Sus scrofa: one gene and its partner. The protein of the gene in region 1 purifies or fractionates together with the protein of each later gene. This does not show direct contact. Links are inferred from orthologs where the notes say so. Each region holds a gene or a part of one and is shown in the gene's direction. Other genes may lie near its edges.

Region 1 (6,652 bases):
GGAACCCCCATCTGCCACGGGAAGCGGCCCAAGATATGGCAAAAGGACAAATAAATAAATAAATAAATAGATAAAATAAAATAAAAAGGCTTATGATAGGGCTGGGCCGGCGGGCTGGAGGGGGTGGAAGCTGGGGGAGGAGGGTGGGGGAGTGGGGAGGTGGGGGGTTGGGGTGGTCCTTGGGCATCCCAGCCAGGACCAGAAGCAGATTTCCTTCCCCACCTGGAGCCACTGGCAGGGCTCCCCAAACACCTAAGGACCTTGGAGAGCAGATGCGGCCCCTACGAGTCCTTATGCAGACAGTTTTCACTCTGGCTCCCAGGTTTGGGGATTCCTGGATCTGAAACAGACACCACCAGTGACCCTTCCCCAGCAAGACACAATCACTGAGTTGTAACTTATTCATCAGCCACTGCCTACAGCCCTGGGTCGGTCCTCCTTCCCTGCCCGCACCTTGGCTCTGAATTTGTAAAGAGAAGAGAGGGGCCCCTGCCTCCTTTCGGGCCTTGGGGTCCAGCTGGCCTGCCTTCACCCCTCTTGTAGGTGATGAGACTATGGAGAAGCTTTTACCTTGCGGAGCTGCAGCTGGGAAGCAAGCGGTGGAGACTAACTGGATTTACTCCTAGTAGAGGTGGGTGGTGATGGCGAGAAGCCCCACCCTTTCCCAAGAAGGCGCCTGATTGGTGGAGCGCTCCGGGGGCGGGGCAGCTCTAGGGCTATATAAATACACTCGCTGGGTTGGGACGCAACGCTGTAGGTAACTCCTGAGCTCAGGTAAGGCAAGCTGGGCTGCTTGTGGGAACTTAGATGGAGCGCGCCCCCCACCCCGGTTGACCAAGGGGTGGAGGAGGGGACCGTCCTCTGAGTTCCATAGTTGGCATCTCTCTCTTCGTAGCTCAAAATGTTTTCCGTGGCCCTACCTCAACTTGCCCTCAACCCCAGTATTTGCTTAATAACGTTCCTCTCTCAAGGCCTCAATTTTCCCTCTGCGAAGTCAAGAGGTTGGTAGTTCTTTGGCGGCTGAGGCTTTGGAGCCGGGGAGAGGGCGCCTCCTTGTGAGTTGGGAGGCAAAAGAAGCTGTTACTCCTTGGCTTTGGGGCTCAGACAGGCTCCGCCTTGAAGTGGCCCTAAGACCTCCATGCTTCAGCTTCTGTGTTTGCAAAATGAGTCTACCTGCCAGGATGAAATAAGATAATGTCATTAAAGCATTTAACACAGCTCCAGGCACTTAGGCCGGGCTTGTTGCTGCTGTTGTTACTCTTTGGGCTGGTCTGGGGTACCAGGAAGCGGGGGGGGGACAGTCTGCTGCAGCCTCCAGGAATTCTGCTTTTCTGACCTCCCCCATCTCACTTCCCTTCTGCTCTGAACCCCCAGTCCTCTGTGCCCGTCCCTCCACTTTCTGGAGGCCCTCTGTCAGGCCAGCCACACTGATGCTCTTGACTGGTGAGGGGCAATAGGGTAGGTGCTACGTCCTGGGGTGCTTTCTCTACAGGTCACTCTGCCTCCCCCCACCTCCCCACTCCCCGACTCATGAGATGAGTGACGCCCAAGATCCTGCCACAGTCCCTGTCCCTGCGGTTGGCACCCAGGTGAAGCTGAGGGGCCGGAGCAGTCAAGATGAGGGCAGAGAGTCTTTCCATTTCCACCAGCACCAGCAACTCCAGGCCTTCCTCAGCCTTCTGGGTGAGTCCACTTGGGGGCCAGCGGCGAAGGGGTGGTGGGGACCGAGGGTGAACAGTCTCTGTCCCTTCCCTTCTCAGCCGTGACCTGGTTTGGCAGGTGGAGGGATGGTGTCAGGTCGGAAAGTGGAGGCTTGGGCTTTGCCACTTCTGATGCCACTCTTGTCCTGTTGGGGGTGGATGGCAACCCCCAGCCACTTTCCTCTTCTCTACCCCCAGAGCACAGTTACCTCCAGGATTTCCTCTCCAAAGATCCCTGTTTCCAGATTTCAGATAAGGTGAGAGGCCACAGGGCGGGTAGAGGCCAGGCGTCCTTGGGGGAAGCTGGAATCAGTGGGGCTTGAGTGCTGCTAATTCATTGGATCCCCTGGTCTGGAGGGGGAGCGCCTCCCTTTTAAACCCTTGTCTTTACAGGCTCCTTCCCACCATTTAACCTGGATTTTCTCTCCCCCCCTCCCCAGAACTCCCTTGGGTGCAGACAGGCCTGGCACACCCCCACCCCCAGGGCCTAACTCTAACTCTTCCCATTTCCTTCTTTCTTTCTTTTTTTTTTGAATTTCTCTTCTATAGTTTTGCCAGTTTTCCAATTAAGCTTCAAACTGACCCCAACCTATGTGCCCAGCAGAAAATTATTACCCTTTTATGTTGTCTTTGTTTTTGTCTTTTCCAGGGCTGCACCCGAGGCATATGGAGGTTCCCAGGCTAGGGGTCTAATCGGAGCTACAGCTGCCGGCCTGCGCCAGAGGCCACAGCAATGCCAGATCCAAGCTGCGTCTGCGACCTACACCACAGCTTACGACAATGCTGGATCCTTAACCCATTGAGCAAGGCCAGGGATCGAACCCGCAACCTCATGGTTCCTAGTCGGATTGGTTAACCACTGAGCCACAAAGGGAACTCCTAACTCTCCCCATTTCTGCATCTGCAGTATCTCCTGGCCATGGTGCTGGTCTACTTCCGACGTGCCAACCTGAAGCTCAGCGAGTACACCCTCAGCAATCTGTTCCTGGCACTGTGAGTGGCCTGGGCACCAGGTGGGGTCATTCACCCAGAATTTGTAGGGTGGGGCAGAACAGATGCTTACGGCCTCTGTTCACACTGCGGCCAGGTACCTTGCAAATGACATGGAAGAAGACCTGGAGGACCCCAAATGTGTGATTTTTCCCTGGGCCCTGGGCCGAGATTGGCATCATCGAGTGTCATACTTCCTGCAGCAAAGGACCAAGCTGTGGGCACGCATGGGCTTCAGGGCCTTTGTGAGCCGCCAGAGCTGCGAGGAGGTGAGGCCCTGCCAGCATCCTGGGGTGGGGCAAAGAGGCTGGACCTCCCCCCTCCCATTTACCATCCATTCTTCTCATGCCAGGTCATGACCAAGGAGCCAACCCACTGGGCCTGGACACGGGAGCGGCGCCCCCACCACGGCAGGGCTCAAAGGAGCTACCCGAAGGCCCAGATCCCCCTCCCCCGGGGCCCAGGCCTCTCACCACCCCACTGTCCCCTCTGTGGCGTGCCTCCTCAATGCAGCCACTGCTGCCACCCCCCCCACCACTGCTGCCACCAGTCCCGCCCCTTGCCTGTCTCATCCAAATGCCCTTCCCCAAACCCTGGGCAGCGCCGCCCTCCCTTCCAAGCTAGCGTCTCAGTGGCTGAAGACCAATGGGGCGGGGGCTTCCTCATTGTCCTGCCCACCCAGCTGCGACTGGAGCCAGGCACCTACACCCTCCGCAGTGAGCTGGGGCTGGGAGCTGGGAGGCAGGTGTGGGGCCCAACAGAATGGGAAGGAGGGACATGGGGCCCGGGGTCCAGCAGGCCTGGGCACGTGACCCAGCTCTGCCACCTCCTAGCATGTGAGCTTGGCAAGCGTCCTCTGAGCCTCTGCCCTTCTCCCCCCCAGTCCTCTCAAAGCCGCTGCTGTGCCCTCGGCGCTGACACTCCAAGGGTGAAGAACAGCCTGCTGACCTGATGTTCTACTGGCCGTGGCCCCGCGCCCCAGCCTCCTCCAGTCTTCTTGGCCTCAGGCTGGCAGGACTGCCCATGCTCCGCGGCCCTCTCCTCCCAACCTGCCACCTGTACCCACTGTGACCTGGCTCCTCTAATAAACTCATGTCCACAGGACACCAGCTGTGCTTAGGCTCAGGCCCTGGTCTGGGTCCTCAGCCCAGGGTGGGCATAGGGAGTTATGGGGAGAGGGGGTCTACCAGGTTCAGCTACCCGTGGTTGAGACCCATGAACACAGGCCCTGTGAGAGCTCTTCCCCTCCCACTGGTGACCAGTCATTCTGAGCCTCCATCTCCCTCTTTAATACCCATGTGGATGCTGGATTCACACAGTGTAGATGGCACAAAATGAGATGAGGTATACGCAGAAGAGGGCCTGGAGCCTGCTGGACCAAAAAACCTCACAAGGAGAATGGCTCCACAGTCAGTCTAGAAAAGCCTGCAGGGCCAGGTCTATTTAGGAAGAACCTTAGTGCTTGCTCTGGGCTACAATCAAATATGATGGGATTATTATAATACCAAGTCCCCCACCCCAAGTAAGTAGTTCATTAACCAGGGAGCAGGAAGACCTCCAGAAGAGCTGGCATTTGCATTGGGCCTTGAACAAGGTCAAGAGTGCCCATGCTGGGGTGGCAGAGATGAGGCACAGGATTCTTGAAAGGCAGTCTGGAGTGGTGATTAAAACTTAGTCTCTGGTTGGAGTTCCCATCGTGGCTCAGCGGAAACAAATCTGACTAGCATCCATGAGGACACGGGTTCGTGCCCTGGCCTCGTTCAGTGAGTTAAGGATCTGGTGTTGCCGTGAGCTGTGGCTCAGATCCTGAGTTGATGTGGCTGTGGCATAAGCCAGTGGCTACAGTTCAGACTCGACCCCTAGTCTGGGAACCTCCATATGCCGCAGGTGTGGCCCTAAAAAGATGTGGAAAAAAAAAGAAAAAGACTTAGTCTCTGGTGCCAGACAGCTGATATTCAAAGTTCAGGTTTCTGTGAGACTTTTAGCTGTCACTTAATCTCCTCTACAGGGATGGCTTTATCAGTCCAATGGGGATTACACTAAAAGGGAGGTCGGAGGTTTGAATGAGCTAATCCTTGGAGGGTGTAGAACTACTCGACTCAGGAATAGAGCTCAGATGTGGGTGTTACCGGTAGTAGAGGAAAGGCTGCCCAGAGAAAGGCTAGAGGGGCGGGTTTGTATGGGGAGTGGCCACAACTGAAGACGAGAGGTCGAAAGGGTCAGGTAGCCCCGGCGTCTGGACAGTGATTCCCCTGCCTGCTCCCCAGAACCACGGAAGTAAAGCCTAGAGATTGCACACCTTAGAGGCCAAGGCAAGGACTGTAAAGTGTTTTTAAGAGCTTTTCAAATAGGTAATCTATTCACGTGTATATTGTGAATTTTGTACGAGGAGTCCCCTCCTACTCCTGACTCCCGGCCACCCGGTTCCCCTCCCTAGAAGCAACGCAAGTACTAACTTATGTCCTTCCAGAAAGAGAATCTAAACCGACATAACTGAATGTGTAACAATAAAAAAGACATATACATATACTTATATATATTTGGTCTTTGTCCCTGGTTCCTGGCACGGAGTTCCCAAAACCCTTGGAATTTCCGGAGGTCTAGGAGTGTCTTCTGTTATTCATAATGAGCGCCTCGGGATCTCAGAGTTTATGCTAATGAGGCCACTCAGGGTGGGGGCTGTCACCCGGAAAACTGATCCAGGAGCTGGGAACTTTAAGCTTCCCCACTTCCTCCAGGAGGGGTGGGGCAGGGATCTTTGGAGTTTTAGAGGGCGATTTTGGGGAGCTCTGCACCCCTCCCCCCAGGCCCTGCCCCAAGAATCTCTTCCATTTGATTGCTCCTGAGTTGTAGCCTTTACAATAAAATGGAAACAGTAAGTAAAGAGCTTTCCTGTGTTCTGAAGTCTAATACTGAATTGTCAAGCCTGAGAAGGGGGTGGAGGGCACCTCCAAATTTGTACTTGGGTTAGACAAGAGTGTGGGTCACTTGGCATTTTTTTTTTTTTTCTTTTCTGGCTGCCCCATGGCATATGGAATGCCCAGGCTAAAGGTGGAATTGGAGCTGTAGCCATTGCCCTACACCACAGCCACAGCAATGCCAGATCCCTAACCCACTGAGCAAGGCCAGGAATCAAACCCAAGTCCTCATGGATCTTAGTCGGGTTTGTTCACCGCTGAGCCACGACGGAACTCCTAAAATGCACATTTTTGTTTTGACACGTATACCCCTGTAAAACCATTATTATGATTAAGATAATGAACAAATCCATCACCCCCCAAAGTCTCCTCAAGCCCCTTTGTCATCCCTCCCCTCCTTCCCACCTGCCAGCCCACCCCAGGCAATCACTGATTTGCTTTCTGACACTAAATTGCTGTCCTTTTCCTAGATGTCCATAGAAATGGAATTAAAAGAATGTACTTCTGTCTGGCTTTTTACACTCAGAATAATTATTCTGCGCTCCATCTGCAATTTTCCTTCTTATTGCTGAGAAGTATTCTATCACGCATGTGCGCACGCACGCACATGAGCACACCCCATAATTTGCTTATCAATTCACAATTTGTTAACGAACATTTGATTGTTTCTAGTTTTGGTTGTTACAATGAAAACTGCTATGAATCCGTATACACAGGTCTTTGTGTGGATATATGCTTTTATTTCCCTTGAGTAAATGCCTAAAAGTGAAACAGCTGGGTCATATGATAGGTGTATATTTACTTTTCTATTTTTAAGATAGACTTTTTTTCCCCCCTGTCTTTTTAGGGCTGCACCTGCAGCATATGGAGGTTCCCAAGCTAGGGGTCGAATCGGAACTGCAGCTGGTGGCCTACGCCACAGCCACAGCCACAGCCACAGCCACTTGGGTTCTGAGCCCTGTCTGCGACCTGCACCACAGCTCACAGCAACGCGGGATCCTTCATCCACTGAGCAAGGCCAGGGATCGAACCCGCAACCTCGTG
Region 2 (8,132 bases), on another chromosome or scaffold:
ATCAGTCCTTTGTTGTGTTTTGTTTTTGTTTGTTTGTTTTGGTTTTGTCTTTTCTAGGACCACACCTTCGGCATATGGAGAGTCCCAGGCTGGGGGTCTAATTGGAGCTGTAGCCACTGGCCTACCCCACAGCCACAGCAATGCGGGATCCGAGCCGTGTCTTCGACCTACACCACAGTTCATGGCAACGCCAGATCCTTAACCCACTGAGCGAGGCCAGGGATGGAATCCAAAACCTCATGGTTCCTGGTTGGATTCATTAACCACTGAGCCAAGACAGAAACTCCTGTTTTGTTTTGTTTCGGGCTAAAGTACTTAAAAGCAAATCCCACACATGATGTTATTTTTTCTTTCATTCTAGGACTGCATCTGCAGCATATGCAAGTTCCCAGGCTAGGGGTCAAATGGGAGCTGCAGCTGCCTGCCTATGCCACAGCCACAGCAATCCGAGCTGCATCTGCAACTTACACCAGAGCTGAGTGAGGCCAGGGATAGAACCTGCATCCTCATGGTAACTAGTTGGGTTAGTTACCGCTGAGCCACAATGGGAACTCCCAACATCATGTTATTTTAAACCCTACAAATTCAGTATGTATCTGCAAAAAGATTTTTTTTTTTTTTGCTTCTTAGGGCCACACCCACAGCATATGGAAGTTCCCAGGCTAGGGGTGGAATCAGTTGCAGTTGCCACAGCAACACTGGATCTGAGCTGCGTCTGACCTACACGAGAGCTCGTGCCAATGCCGAATACTTAACCCACTGAGCAAGACCAAGGATCAAACCCGAATTCTCATGGATACTGGTCCAGTTCATAACCGCTGAGCCACAATAGGAACGCCTGAATATTTTCTTGAGGAAACACAATGTTAGTTCATAACAAAGTTACCAAACCCATCCATTTGAAATTTCATGAATATCTAGAAATGTCTTCTTATGACTTAAAAAAAAATTAGGGGATCAGGCGTTGCTGTGAGCTGTGGTGTAGGTCGCAAATGTGGCTTGGATTCCGAATAGCTATGGCTGTGGTGTAGGCCAGCAGCTACAGCTCCGATTCAACCCATAGCCTGGGAACCTCCATATGCTGCTGACACAGCCCTAAAGAGACAAAAAAAAAAAAAAAAAAAAAAAAATTTTCCAAAAAGCACAATATTTTTAAGAACCTCAGGTGGACATTTACAAACAGAATGTGTCTAGAGTACAATAAGGAACATAGTAAAAGAAAAAGACTTGAAACTGCACCAAGTATGAAGTCAGATCAAGAAGAAGTTCCTAGAAGTCTATGAGACCAGGGGTCTAGAGAAAGTGGTAGATTAGGATTCGATGTAGATATTTCAGCATGCCAGAAACTATCCTAACTCCATTTCTAACATGTACCAGAAATCTGGTCGATTCTGCTGGGGGAGACCTGGAATCATCCCACTGAGCATCCCACAACTAGAGCAAGAGAATCATAAGATGCCCCATTCTTTGTCCACTTCCAACCCTCCCTTCCTCAGAGCAGCACGGGACATTCCAGACCCTCTCACCACTCCCACCCCCACCCCTCGCTCCTGTCACGAGGCCACAATCCCCCAGAGCCCTTTCATGTGATGCTCAGCTGAGACCCCTCTGCCTGACTTCCAGCCCCAGAACAAAAGCCTGTGTTTGCCCATGCCCATCCCAAAGAGGAAATGTGGTACCTCTTTACCCTCTATTCAATACCACATTCTCTTGTTCCTCGTTGGAAATACTCTATCTCAAGTGCCTGAGACATTGCCTAAAAGAGTCTCCCTCTCATTTTATCCCCTTGGATCCCCTGCTCCAGCTCACTGTCCACGGGTCTCAGAATTAGGGCCACAAAGACCCACTCTTCTCTTGCCCTTCCAAGCAGATGGGATTATTTTTAGGCTCAGTCCCAAATCTCCATGTGGAGAGAGAGTTCATGTGCCCATGTCCTCACTAAATCAAATGGGAGGGAGAAGTCTGAGGCATTGCTGGTATTTCCCATTAGGGAGGGGAAAAGCAGAGCAGGTGTGCAACCCCAAATTCACACTTGCTCATGTCTACACTCCCCATACTCACCTTCTGTGGCCCCCACAGCCAGAAAGGCACCCATCACAGCCACATGGAGAAGGCATTTTCTGAGCACCAGATCCATGGTATTCTTCCTTCCAGCAACCAAAGGCACTGGGGCAAAGGACAAGCCCCTATATAAGAAAGGGGTGCTCATTTGCATAGCCCTTCCCCCTTTCCCTCCAGAGGAGGCCTGGGAGGAGGAGGAGGACCTGAGAAAGGCAGAACTGGGGAGGGATCCTGGTCCCTGGACATCTTGCTACGCAGTGACAGTTTCTGGCTTCACAGGGTCACTCTCAACACTCCCCCGCCCAAAGAATTGACTGAAGGGCAGCAACATAGCATAACACGTACCCTACACACACAATCCATCATGGGAGAGTGGATCAATCTATTGTGAGTCAAACCAGAAACCTGTCAAAAAGACTGTAGAAACAGCAACCCTGCATCCAAAAACAGAGATTGTGTAGGATAGGCTGACAGAGGCAATGACTCCTCCGAGGTCCAGGAAACCCTTGCAAGGAGCTTCCCAGCTTCCTGCTTTTCAGAGAAGGTTCCCTGGGCTAGGTGGAATTTAATCTTAGATCAGTGCACATTTTCCTAAGGGTGGTGAAAACCCGGTTTAGATATTAGGAAATCCCTACAGACTCAAGGTACAGGTAGAAAACTCGAGCCCAAATCAAATACTAGGAACACGATATTTCACCTTCCCACCTAGGTTAAAACTTGACTTAATACACCTCAGAAACTTGCGCTGGGAAGGGTCGTTTGGGGCGTGGCGGAGCGCAGGACGGGCCCTTCCCACTCTGACGTTAACCAATAGGAAGATCTGGGGGCGGAGCCAGGGAAACGCGGGAAGGAGGGGCGGGGCTTCTGGTGGCGGTAGGGAACTGGCGGGGGGAGGCGGCAACATTGTTTCAAGTTGGACAAATTGACAAGAGCGAGAGATACGCTGCGTTCCATCCCGACCTGGGGCTGCCGTGCAGGGCCCTGTTTCCCCCTCCTCGGCCCCCGAGAGCTGGGTGCCGCTTTCTGCTGGGTTCCCAGGCCCCCGCTCCAGGGCCGGGCTGATTCGACTCGCTAGCGCTTCATGGAGAACTTCCAAAAAGTGGAAAAGATCGGAGAGGGCACGTACGGAGTTGTGTACAAAGCCAAAAACAAGGTGACGGGAGAAGTGGTGGCGCTTAAAAAAATCCGCCTGGACACGTGAGTGGCCTCTGTACCTGGGACTCCTCTAACTCCGGAGCTCCTTGAGTGCCCCCCACCCCCACCCCAACAGGCGGGTAGCCATCCAGGGACCGGAAGGTAGTAGGGAGGGACTTCTTTTGAAGTGGAGAGGTAGGTTGAAGGACAGTACAGGGTTTCCTTGTGGAGAATATAGGGTAGTGTAGAGTCCATGGGAAATTTCCTTTCCAAAGGCGGGTGATGCCCGAAAATGTACAGTCAGAAAGACTCGGGAAGAGGAAGGAGGCCTCTGATTTGGGGTCCAGGACTCCCCGTGGAGTTGGGTTTTGTAGAAAGCGGTAAAGAGCAACTTTTTGAATACGAACTTTCCTCGCTGTCTCAACCCCACCCTCATCTTAGAATTCTCTCCCCCTTTCAAAAGAATGGCAGTTGAAACTCACTGGCCCCTCTCGGAGGCTGGGTGCTGCTACTCCCCCCACCCCCACCTTTTTTCCCCCAGTTAACCTTCTTCACTTTCACCAAGAGGCTTTGCTAATCTACCCCTGGGAAAAGAAGAAATAATGACCTTAATGTGTCCAAAAGCCCTTCCTGTCCACCCATGAATTAATCCCTGACACCCCTTTTCTCTCATTTCCCTAGAGGATGCTGGGGTGGTGTCTCTGGTGGGGTCATGACTGGGCTGGGGAAAAAGGAATATTTGTAACCACATTCCCATCTGCTTTCCCAACTTCTCCAAGTGAGACGGAGGGTGTACCCAGTACTGCCATTCGAGAGATCTCTCTGCTTAAGGAGCTTAACCACCCTAATATTGTCAAGTAAGTATGCATCCGGGAGGTGCTCTGACAGTAAAGGAAGATGTGTTCTGTTTGTGTTATCTGGACATTTCTCTCCCTCACCTCTGTTCCTGGACATCCCCCCTTCCCTAGGTTGCTGGATGTCATTCACACAGAAAACAAACTCTACCTGGTTTTTGAGTTTCTGCACCAGGATCTCAAGAAATTCATGGATGCCTCTGCTCTCACTGGCATTCCTCTTCCCCTCATAAAGGTAATCCTTCTCATCAGTTCCTCCCCAACATGGGCATGTCTTGGGGGCACTTAAGACAGATAATTAAGACTGAGTGATGATTTGTGATCTTGGCTTCATTCCCAGCCGTCATCCCCCTATCATGCAAACACAATCACACATACCTTTTGTGTGTGTGTGTGTGTGTGGTGTGTGTGTGTGTGTGTGTATGGCTCTTTCACCGCTCATTATGCTTATTAACCCTAGGGCTGGGCAGAAGAATCAAAGTTGAAACTCTTGTGAGTCAATTTAGCAGCTCAGGTGGAAGGTGAGATGAAACTCAGATAAAAGGTGGAGTTCCCACCGTGGCTCAGTGGTTAACGAATCCAACTAGGAACCATGAGGTTTCGGGTTCGATCCCTGACCTTGCTCAGTGGGTTAAGGATCCGGCATTGCTGTGAGCTGTGGTGTAGGCCGCAGACGAGGTTTGGATCCCATGTTGCTGTGGCTCTGGCATAGGCCCATGGCTACAGCTCTGATTAGACCCCTAGCCTGGGAACCTCCATATGCCTTGGGAGCGGCCCTAGAAAAGGCAAAAAGACAAAACAAAAAACAAAAAACAACAAAACTCAGATAAATGGGACTGGAGAGCACTTGGTAAATTCTTTAAAAAAAAAAAAAAATTGGTGGGAGAAATAGCCAGTGAGTCTCTATTGTCTGTTTTGCTGGGTTCTTTACTCCTGGAGCTACTTTTAATCTATCAATAAACATTTATCCAACACATTTATTGAAGACCCTCAATGTGCTAGACACAGAATATGGAAAAGAGATGCAAAACTGAATAAGACAGGGAGTTCCCGTCATGGCTCAGCAGTTAATGAATCTGACTAGCATCCATGAGGATGCAGGTTCAATCCCTGGCCTCGTTCAGTGGGTTAAGGATCTGGCGTTGTCGTGAGCTATGGTGTAAGTCACAGATGTGGCTTGGATCCTGTGTTACTGTGCCTATGGCATAGGCTGGGAGCTACAGCTCCGATTTGACCCCCAGCCTGAGAACCTCCATATGCCGAGGGTGCAGCCCTAAAAAGCAACAAAACAAAACAAAAAACTGAATAAGACCTGATCCTTATCCTCACTGGGCTGATAGTCCAATGGGAGAAAGCATGTAAATGTTTAATTACAATCTAACATAATAAAGGCTTTAGTAGAAACTCTGGAGGCACAGAGCAGACCCTAATTTGCTCACTTTGGTGTAAAAACACAGTCCCTTCTCTCCCCTTGTCAGAGTTATCTGTTCCAGCTGCTTCAGGGGCTAGCTTTTTGCCATTCTCATCGGGTCTTGCACCGAGACCTTAAACCTCAGAATCTGCTTATCAACGCAGAAGGATCTATCAAGTTAGCAGACTTTGGACTGGCCAGAGCCTTTGGAGTCCCTGTTCGTACATACACCCATGAGGTGAGCTCCTCTCTGCATGTCTTCTCTGAATTTCTTGGGAGGTGAGGTGTTAACAGGGACATTCACAAAGTTACTAAAAATATCTGGCTAGCAGTTTCTCTATCACTAGATGGAAAGTTATCTCTGATGCCCCAAGAGGTCTTAGAGTATGCACAGACTTCATATTTTGATAGATACTAAGCTAGGAGAGCTGGATGGTACACCATTAAAATTATGACTGCTTGCCTCAAGTCTTCCAAGAAAGTTGTAAATTGAGGATTCAGAAAATTTGGGGTTCCAAGGACCATGGACTAGGCTACTCTAGGATAAGAGGCTGTCCCAGGAGTTCCCATCGTGGTGCAGCAGAAACAAATCCGACTAGGAACAATGAGGTTGCGGGTTTGATCCCTGGCCTTGCACAGTGGGTTGAGGATTTGGCATGACTGTGGCTGTGGTATAGGCCAGCAGCTGTAGCTCCGATTGGACCTCTAGCCTAGGAACCTCCATATGCCAAGGGTGTGGCCCTAAAAAGCAAAAACAAACAGACAAGAAGCTGTCCCGGTTATTAGAGGACATCAGAGGGAAGGAAAGGATGGAGGAAAAAAAGCTTCTTTTAAGAGGCTGAGAGTCAGCAGCGTAGTGTCGAGGAGCTGAGATGTTGGAATCTCCATGCCCCATATACTATCCTTCCCCTCCCTACTCTTGTCCCCAGGTGGTGACTTTGTGGTACAGAGCACCTGAAATCCTTCTGGGCTGCAAATACTACTCTACAGCCGTGGACATCTGGAGCCTGGGCTGCATCTTTGCTGAGATGGTATGCAGGCATGCCCGAGTTCCACCTGGCCCACTCCTCCCCACATTCAGGAACGACAGTACTGTTTCTTGGCCCAGGCTCATGGTCCTTCTCTCATCACAGGATCCCTCCTCTAGAGTAGCACAAAGGAGGTTGGTAGGGAAAGAATAGGACTGTCATCCTCAATGTCTGCCACAGTGTTAGGCTAGCCTCAATCAGCCCTAGCAGCCAGCATTCATGTCTTATCTCCAAACTGAGCTAAATCATTTCTGCAGCCATTTTAGCTTCAGCCTGCTTATATTTGGGAAAATGAGTTCCTTTTAGCATCTCCTTTATTTGGCCTGTAGACCTTACTGTAGGGCACTAGGAACACAGTGGTGAGGCCAACGGTGTTCGCTGTATTCACAACTCTTCTTTAAACTGCAGGCTTAGATCATACCCCCCCTCAACCTCTGGCTTTTCAGATTGAAGGATCCCTAAGGCCCAGTCTTGTAAGGGAGCTCTCATCCCCTTTAATGCAACAGTGGAGTGAGCTGAGTTTTCAAATCAAATCAGCCATATGTTTTATGGTCCCTTATCTGGGTTGTAACTGGGGGCTTGGAGACCATTAGCCTATATATATATATATATACATACATATAATGTGCATTTATCCCCCAGTACATTATCTTACAATTGCCCATATTCGTCTCTCAATTCATCAAAAAATATTTGTTAAGCACCTAGTATGTACCCAGCACCATGCTAGGTGCTGTGGGGAACACAGAAGAAATGGAAGACACAGTCTCTGCCCGCTGTGCTCCTATCTAGAAGTGGCTGCATCACAAGGAGGGGGGATGACCGCAGTGTCTACCCCACACCCCGTGAGTGGCTTGGGATCCCTTTGCTACATGTCAGTGGCACCCCAGACATTCACCCCCTCCCAGCCCCACCCAGCCTTGGGGATCTGCAAAGCCATGGTTGGGGGAAGGAAGGAGGGGGCAAGGAGACAGATGAAGGGACTTCATTGTCTCAGGCTCTGTGTGACTGACCCCATGAAAGACCCTGGGGAGGGAGTCATGGGGCCCTGCTGAACTTCCACTGCCTGTGGGAACCTCCATTATCCAATGGGCAGTTGTGACTGACGTCAATGTGGGTCTCGGCCTTTCCTCTTTCCCCATTTTCAGGTGACCCGCCGGGCTCTGTTCCCTGGAGATTCTGAGATTGACCAGCTCTTCCGGATCTTTCGGACTCTTGGGACCCCAGATGAGGTGGTTTGGCCAGGAGTTACTTCCATGCCTGATTATAAACCGAGTTTCCCTAAGTGGGCCAGGCAAGATTTTAGCAAAGTTGTGCCTCCCCTGGATGAAGATGGACGGAGCTTGTTATCGGTGAGAGTGGGGAGTGGGCACCCATTTCCTCTCATTTACTCCCCCAGGGCTGGGTTTTTCCAGGGTGAAGGAAGAATGAGGCCCTGGACTCCTGGTCTCAGCGTTTCCCTAGCTTGTGCTTCCCTATGGCTGTTGGCGCACCTGTTAGATATAGGGAGGGAGGAAATGGGAACTCTACCTTGGGTGAAAGGAATTGTTTTCCCAATTTCTCAAGATACCTGCTGCCCATTTAGTCCATTATCACGTTACTGAACTCAGCATACATCTCTCCCTCCAGCAAATGCTGCACTAC

The links. The genes of interacting proteins can lie anywhere in the genome.
Region 2: the proteins of SPDYC (region 1) and CDK2 purify together in Homo sapiens (co-immunoprecipitation; 3 studies listed by BioGRID and IntAct, with this or other methods). This does not show direct contact. The link is inferred for Sus scrofa from reciprocal best matches to the Homo sapiens genes SPDYC and CDK2.

The regions. Positions count from the first base shown.
Region 1 is NC_010444.4:7,028,724-7,035,375, reverse strand, and holds the end of SPDYC (speedy protein C), read left to right. Parts: intron 1-543; 5' UTR 544-631; intron 632-1,181; exon of another isoform or gene 1,182-1,492; 5' UTR 1,493-1,535; coding exon 1,536-1,683; intron 1,684-1,898; coding exon 1,899-1,957; intron 1,958-2,607; coding exon 2,608-2,693; intron 2,694-2,787; coding exon 2,788-2,959; intron 2,960-3,042; coding exon 3,043-3,642; 3' UTR 3,643-4,495; downstream 4,496-6,652. UniProt on the Homo sapiens protein: Promotes progression through the cell cycle via binding and activation of CDK1 and CDK2. Involved in the spindle-assembly checkpoint. Required for recruitment of MAD2L1, BUBR1 and BUB1 to kinetochores.
Region 2 is NC_010447.5:21,362,826-21,370,957, forward strand, and holds the start of CDK2 (cyclin-dependent kinase 2), read left to right. Parts: upstream 1-3,004; 5' UTR 3,005-3,142; coding exon 3,143-3,258; intron 3,259-3,974; coding exon 3,975-4,052; intron 4,053-4,163; coding exon 4,164-4,284; intron 4,285-5,527; coding exon 5,528-5,698; intron 5,699-6,389; coding exon 6,390-6,491; intron 6,492-7,189; coding exon of another isoform or gene 7,190-7,333; intron 7,334-7,636; coding exon 7,637-7,840; intron 7,841-8,117; coding exon 8,118-8,132. Other genes in the region: melanocyte protein PMEL, read right to left, coding at 2,062-2,215. UniProt on the Homo sapiens protein: Serine/threonine-protein kinase involved in the control of the cell cycle; essential for meiosis, but dispensable for mitosis. Phosphorylates CABLES1, CTNNB1, CDK2AP2, ERCC6, NBN, USP37, p53/TP53, NPM1, CDK7, RB1, BRCA2, MYC, NPAT, EZH2.